Tamandua tetradactyla: one gene and its partner. The protein of the gene in region 1 interacts with the protein of each later gene in a pairwise test. Links are inferred from orthologs where the notes say so. Each region holds a gene or a part of one and is shown in the gene's direction. Other genes may lie near its edges.

The links. The genes of interacting proteins can lie anywhere in the genome.
Region 2: the proteins of TCL1A (region 1) and CADPS interact in a two-hybrid assay, tested with the Homo sapiens proteins (3 studies listed by BioGRID and IntAct). The two-hybrid records come from large-scale screens. The link is inferred for Tamandua tetradactyla from reciprocal best matches to the Homo sapiens genes TCL1A and CADPS.

What each region holds. Positions count from the first base shown.
Region 1 is NC_135338.1:56,901,862-56,905,608, reverse strand, and holds the start of TCL1A (T-cell leukemia/lymphoma protein 1A), read left to right. Parts: upstream 1-1,190; 5' UTR 1,191-1,245; coding exon 1,246-1,365; intron 1,366-3,747. UniProt on the Homo sapiens protein: Enhances the phosphorylation and activation of AKT1, AKT2 and AKT3. Promotes nuclear translocation of AKT1. Enhances cell proliferation, stabilizes mitochondrial membrane potential and promotes cell survival.
Region 2 is NC_135341.1:21,822,124-21,825,870, forward strand, and holds the start of CADPS (calcium-dependent secretion activator 1), read left to right. Parts: upstream 1-899; 5' UTR 900-1,266; coding exon 1,267-1,707; intron 1,708-3,747.

The sequences.
Region 1 (3,747 bases):
ACTCTCATGACATTCCAAAAGATCACAGATTATTTTCTTAGTACCTAATCAGAGAGAGAGGAAAGAGCTAGAAGTTAAGGCACCAAACTGCTGCCAGTGGTGATGTTTGAACAATGAGACAGGAACTGGGCTTACATTTGTCTCATTGTACTTTAATTCCTTAATTCCCTTAATGAGCATGCTACTACAAAATGAAGTGAAAATATTTTCCTTATTTGCTTTAATTTACAGAAAAATCCATTTGATCTTAGAGTGAAGAGAGGGTTTTGGTTTCCTTTTACACTTGATCTTAGCCAAAAGGCCGAGAAGCGATGGTTTCTTTTTAAGTGTTCATTTTGAATTATGCTTTCTGTAATGAATTCAAAGCATATAAAGGGAAAACCATGTTTCTTCACCAGCAGGTTTCACAATGGCTATTAGATGGCCACAGCATCCCCAAACCCGCAGAAAGTGGGTGTTCGGGGGAAGGGAGGGGACTCAAGAGTTGAAGTTTTGCCAAGGAAATTGATTCTGACACCCAAAACCATAGGCTGAACGTAAGCCCACGAACCTGGGAAGGCCTAGGCCTGAAGCAGGCCCCCGCTTGAGTGGCCTCTGATCCCAGAAGATGAAGAAGCGGACACCGGCTCCAGGCCGCCTGGCCTCAAAGGCAGCCTGGGAGTTCCGCACAGAGGCCTGGAGCTGCTAGCTCTGGGGCGTGGCCTGGACAGACACACGCACTGGCTGACAGTGGTGTCCGCGCGCTGAAAAGAGGGCCAGGATGGCTCTCGCTGTAGCCAAGGCCACAGACCCGAGTACCTACCGGGCAATGGACGGCAAAGAAGGGGCGAGAAAGACCAGCTGGAGGTCCTGAAAAGGCCCCGGACCTGCTGGGGCCTGGGTCTGGGCTCCTGGACTGACGCGGCCTGGGTCCGGGTTTACAGGTCAAGCTCTGGCCTCAGGGCCTGCTACGGATCCTCCCCCGGCAGGCTCGGCGCTGCTTGGCCCCGCCTCTCTCCCCGCCCCATATTGCTTTGGGCCCCGCCTCTCGCCCCACCCCATCTGGCCTTGCTCCTGCCTCTCGCCCCGCCCCCTCTGCCTTGCACCTCCCACTTCCCGCCCCTTTCGCTATGCTCCATACCCCATTCTCCGCCTAGCGCCCGCCCCCCTCCGGCCCCACCGCGTGGGGGCGCCGGCTTGCCCACTCGCTATAAAGGCGTGGGGGCCCTGTGTCTGGCTAATCTGCTAGTGAACTCGAGAGGCGCCATGGACGATCGCCCCTTGTTCAGGGAATCCACAGCCATGCACCCCGACCGCCTGTGGATCTGGGAAAGAAACGTCTACTTGGACGAGAATCAGCGCACCTGGATACCTGTATGCCTCAAGGTACAGCTGCTTTGGGGCCCGGATGGGCGGGTCAGCAGGAGCATCCGCCTCCCTGGCCCGGTTCTGGGGAAACTGGAGATACCCCAGGCTGCACAGAGCACTCAAGGAGCCCCTCTGGCCCCTGGGTGAGGGTCACAGCAAGGAGGCTCTAAAGGGGCCTCGTTCTCCCTGGGTGGCCTGGCCTCACAGATGAAACCACTTTGAGCTGGCCCCAGAAAAATGAGTAGGAGTTCTCCAGGCAAGGAAGGAGGGTGAGAACCTCACAAAGGAATGAAGCAAAGCATGGGAACCTCTTGCCTCTGGAGCATGTGAATATGCTCTTGAATAAGACAGGACTTTTCTGGGCTTTATGTATCTAATCTCCAAAATGGGCATAATAGATCACTACAATAAGTGATTTACCCACCTAGCCAGTTATCACACGTTCTGGGCTGGGCCTCAGAAATCTACATTTCAAAAAGGGTGCCCAATAGACTATGCAACCAAGTTAGGAAACTGATGCCCTAGATTTATGGGGGTATTTCATGCCTCCTCTATGCTTTGAAAGAAACAAACTTAAGTAATATAATAGTATAAAAGCAGGTACTGAATAAACGTTGACTTTGTTTTATGTATGATGCTTTAAGATGGAACTTCAGTTCTTTTTTAAAAAGAGATATAACTCTTTTGCAAATACCTTCCACAAAAGCCCAGGTTTCCCCAAAGAAACTTAAGGTTGAAAGTTGAATGACTTTCCATATATAAACCAAAGGAAAAAAATGTAAAAGCAAAATTAAAATATAAAGTATTAGAACATTTATGTCCTATAATAGTAAACAGCAGAAGGTTATTGAGTATTGACTGTGTCTCCATTGTAAATGAGGAAACTGAGGCATAAAAATGTAGATTTGTCCGGGTAGTACTGGTAGTGGTAATTGGGTTGATTCCTGACACTTAACCACTGTCTAAACCTTGAATGTTTATTGGCATTAAAATTTTAAAACTATCCATGTATACACACAAACACACATGCACACACACTCTTTTTAAAAATCAAGTAAAATACTGATTTTTTCACGTCGCGTATTTGAAGAAATACTATCTTTGGGTTACTATCTTTGTTTATCCCTGGTTAGAAATTATCTTCTTCAACATGACACCAAAACCAAGAACCAGATAGAAGTTTTCTGCACCACCATGATACATTCTACACAGAAAACAACCCACTAGCAAATTTGCCACACATGACAAAGGGACTGGAACAGTATTCTTAATATGTAAAGATATACTTAAATCAACAAGAAAAAAGTGAATAGAAACTAAAAATAATTAATGGATATGGAAGATTGTAGACATTGACACAGCAAAAATGATTGCAATGTGAGCTGAATATTTTTTTCACAGTGAACTCTATTTCATAGAAAAATTTTAAAAAGCTATTTCTCCTTTGGAAAAAGTATTGAAAAAATGGGAGAGCCTAGAATACATGCTAATCATGATTTGAGGCTCTGGGGATATGCAGTGAATGTGATAAAATCTCCACTACTTGTGAAGCTGACATGGATAGCAAAATAATTCTTAAACTGCTGGTAAATTCTGTAGGAGAACTAAAACAGGAAAGAGGGGTCAACAAGTGATGTGGGGATCTTCAGGCAAGACTTCTCTGAGGGTCTTAATTTGCACTGGCCTGATACATTTTTGCCATCATTTTGTTTGTAACCTTGATGAATCTCTTTATTTTAGGCATGTCTTTATGTATCTCACAGAAGTAGATTTTTCTGACTGTTTTCTTTTAATTGGTAAATTAAACTCATGTTCTGTTATTGATCTAACTGATAAACTAGATCTCAGTTCTATCTTTCTGTTTTATGTTATATTTGTCTTGGTATCCATACATTTGGGCCCTGCATAGTCTTGGGGAGAATGTTCCAGGCAGAGAGAACAACAGGTACAAGGGGTTGCTGAGTGCAGACATGAGTGTGGCATGTCCCAGAAATGGCAAGGGGTCAGAGTGACTGGAGTGGAGGGGAGGGTGAAGGACAGAGCAAGAGAGAGAAGGGACCCAGCTCTTTTGGTTTCCATGGGCCATGGTATAGATCTGGGTTTATATACCTGTGATGAGAAGCATAAGGTCTTGAGTGGCACACTGGCATGGTTTTTAGATGCTCATCCTGGCTGCTGTGCAGAGAACCAATGTGGGGCCTAAGACCAGCAAGTAGGCAAAAATTAGGGAAATGATTGGTAGAAGAATGGTGATGCAAAGGGATCTGTCACCAGATTTGTGGTCAAGGGATACCTTGGTTAAAAGAGGAAATATGATAGAAATAAAGAGCAATGCAAGAAAATCCTATGACAGCTGAAATGGACACCTGGGTCCCACAGTATGTCCTGGCCAATAGGAGT
Region 2 (3,747 bases), on another chromosome or scaffold:
AGGAGCAGGAGGAAGGAAGACACCATCTGTTGCTTTGTATTAATAGATTAACCGAGAAGCAGAAATGAAGAGAGTGCGGCAGAGTCAACGCATTTGATGCTCGGGGGTTTCTATGATTTCCGGGGTCCTCGCTCCACCACTCAGACGGTCCAGCTAATCAGAACCGAGGAAAGGCTCTGCAACTAAAAACACTTTTTCGGTGGTAGGCTTACCTCAGCAGAAAATAATCTCAGTTCCTGGAATTGAAGAATGTTTATCACAGTTTTTGAGGGGGAGGGCAAGAGGGGATTCTACTTAAGTAACTGAACTTCATAGGCGATCCACTAATTCGCTCAAAATTTGATTCACTTGTTTAATGAGAGTGGGCGTAAGTAGAGTAAATAGCTGGAATCTGATTTTTCATAGGTGGAACAAATACATTGCCCTCTCCACACAATCCCCCGCCCCCGCCACGCCCCAGGTGCGAAGACTTCTGGGGATAGGAGATGAGTCCTTTCTTTCCCCTATGGATATCAGCGATTTCCTCTTCCTCGGTTTAGCGTCTCCAAACTGACTGCGCTCTTTGCTGACAAGAAGTCATCACTCGTTTCTTTATTTCTTCTCGCTCCCCTAAGAACTTTTGGTTCGCGGGAGGGGGAGGGGGAGAGGGAGAGGGGTCGAGGCAATGAGAGATTGGAATCATGGAGGACATTATCCACAAAGGGGTGGAGGTTTGGGGAATGGGGAGGCGTGGAAGTCAGCACTGAGGCTCTGAAGCTTCGGGACACGCTCGGCGCGCTCTTCCCACCCCCACCCCCCCCAACTCTCTGCAGCCGCCCTTTGCGCCGCGGACACGGGAGAGTTAAGCCAATAAACACGTAAGCGCCGCTCCCTCCCCAATCGGCAAGATGCCTCTTCGGCTCTTGGCTGCATCGACAGCTTGCAACACTCCGCATCTTTTCTGGAGGCGCCTTCTTCAGCGGCTGCAGATGGCATCCGCCTGCGGACTCGGGGCTTGCAATTGATCTTTCCCATTGCCCACCTCGGGTCCACGGACACACCTCTCCCTTTCCCTCCTCCCCTCGCGCTCCTGGGTCTGAGCCCAGCTCCGGATCGCCGGGCGGAGCAGGCAGTCGCGGCGGCCGAGGCTGAGCAGCAGCGCGCTCGCTTCCTGATTTGGGGGGAAGCGCCCACTCGGGAAAGCCGACCCCTAGCCGCCTCCAGCGCCCCCCACCTTTTGCACCTTAAACCGGGGGCTCCAGGGACCCCCCCTCCCCAGCCACCACTATGCTGGACCCTTCGTCCAGCGAAGAGGAATCGGATGAGATCGTGGAGGAGGAGAGCGGCAAGGAAGTGCTCGGCTCGGCCGCGTCCAGCGCGCGCCTGTCTCCCAGCCGCACAAGCGAGGGCTCGGGCAGCAGCGCCGGGCTAGGGGGCGGCGGCGGTGCCGGGGCCGGACTGGGCACCGGCGGCGGCGGCGGGGCCAGCGGCGCGGGCAGCGGCGTTGGGGCCGGGGGGCTGCAGCCCAGTAGCCGCGCCGGCAGCGGCCGGCCCTCCAGCCCCAGCCCGTCGGTGGTGAGCGAGAAGGAGAAGGAGGAGTTGGAGCGGCTGCAGAAGGAGGAGGAAGAGAGAAAGAAGAGGCTGCAGCTCTATGTGTTCGTGATGCGCTGCATCGCCTATCCCTTCAACGCCAAGCAGCCCACCGACATGGCTCGCCGGCAGCAGAAGGTATGAGCGCTTGGGAGGCCCAGGGAGCAGCGCCGGGACGTCCCCAGGCGGGCGGGGCAAACAAAGGGAACTGGCGGCGCCGCTGGCGAGGAGGAGGAGGAGGAGGAGACCGCGCCCTGGGGAAGGTGCTGCGAGGCCCCATCCCGCGGCCCAGCCCTGCCCTGTACGGGAAGCGCCGGGAACTTCCCAGGGCCCGCAAAGGCCTGAAGCGCCACGCCGCGCGCCCAGGCCTCCCTTCTCCCGAGCGCAGGGGAGCGAGGAAGGTTCCGCTTTGTGGCCCGGGAGACTCGAGGGGTGACTTGCAGCCCCCGGTGCCCAGAGAGGCCTTGCTCACTTTCAGAGCTCCCAGCGCTCTCCAGCGGTTGGCGGCTGCGCTCAGCTCTGGGCCCGCCCTCCTGGGCGTGCTCTCCGCGGGCGGGGGCACTCGGCAGGAGGGGGCGCTAGGAGCTCCTTGGAGCCGGCCGAGCTCGCCAGGGCAGAGAACCAGCGCAGGGGACAGGAGGGAGAAAGCAAGCCTGGAAGGCTAAGCTTGGGGAGGTGCTGCCAAGACCGCCCTCCTCTCCGCACCCGGGCCAGCTGATCACTAACCAGGGTTGCCTAGAGGTCCTGGAGCACAACTCCCCTCTGGTAGGGGTTCTCCATTCCTCTTTTTCTCTTCTGCACTGATTCCAGAGCTGGGCACGACCTCTGGTCTTTCGGCCTGGGTCAGCCCCTTTTCCTCCCTTTGACCCTCATCTCTTCCCAAGGTGATTTCGCCGCCACCGCCTGGCTCGCCGAGGCTCTTCAAGCCCTTACGTTGCTGACTTGATAAAGTGTCGCTGCAAAAAGCCTCGCAATTTAAAATCAGGATCAAAAGCTTTTGGAGTCTGAGGCTGGGATAAGGCTTTGGACTGACTTTGATATGAAAAAAAGTGCCTATTTCTCTTCTCCAGTTGGAGAAAGGGAAGGTGTGGTTAGCTCAGGATAAGGGGCAGCGGCGGGGTTCCTGAAGAGAAGGTTGGATGCCTAGCTCAAGTGAGTTAGTGACCAAAGTCAGCATTTTGTTCCCTTTTAAGTGAATCTGCTGCACATCAGCTATCAGAAAGGCCTGTCAACCCCCTCCCTCCCAGATAAATCAGCTCAAACTCCATAAAAAATGTGAGGACCCGTTTCTTAAAATATTGAATTCTAGGTGGCTGTCATTTAAGACTGAATTGAAAGTTGTTCTAGTAGGGTGTTAGGTCGTCCCCTAGGTTTAGCTGTCCTTATCTTAAGTTGGTACAGATGTCTGTTTGTTTTCTTTGTATATGTTCATACATCACCCAGCACTGCTGATTTATTCTAGCTATCACAAGCTTGGGTATCAGTTTTATTAAAAGCAAAACTCATTTCCTGGTTGAAAAACAGCAGTGGGCTACACGCAACAGCAGGATCCCCTCCCCCACTCCCCAGAACTGCTTTGCACTACACAGCCCCTTGTGTTCTTCACCCTTTGTTTTGGACCACAGTAGAACATAAGTAGCCTCAGAGCAGTAAAGTTTTTTTGTTGTTGTTTGTTTGTTTGTTTTTAATTTTCTTTTAAGGTTGGCTATTGTGTTCTTCAGTGGACAGGGTCTGATATTTCAAGTTACAACTTAAAATTATTGTGGCAATTGTCTTTACAGGAAATTCCATCTCCAAAATATATCTCATAATTAGCACCAACCAACGATGTCCTATTCCTTTCACAATGAAAACTGCTGTCCTTTAAAGAAAAAAGAAAACAGGGAAACCCCTCCATTTATCAGTCAGATGACTCCAGGGCTCTGTTCTATAAATAGATCTATACACTAGGCACCAGAATGGGGAAATAAATCCATTCCCACAGAGACCACTTTTAAACAGTGTTCAGCTACCTGAGAAAGAGTACCAGGAGGTCAATTCTTTTCTGATCTGATTACAGTTTGCCTGAATTCAAAGATGCAGTTTTGAGGGACAAGCTGCTTTGTTTTTTTCACATGACCTTAACATCAGAGAGAGTCCAGGACAGATTGATGCATTTAGTCAAACTATTTTTAGTTA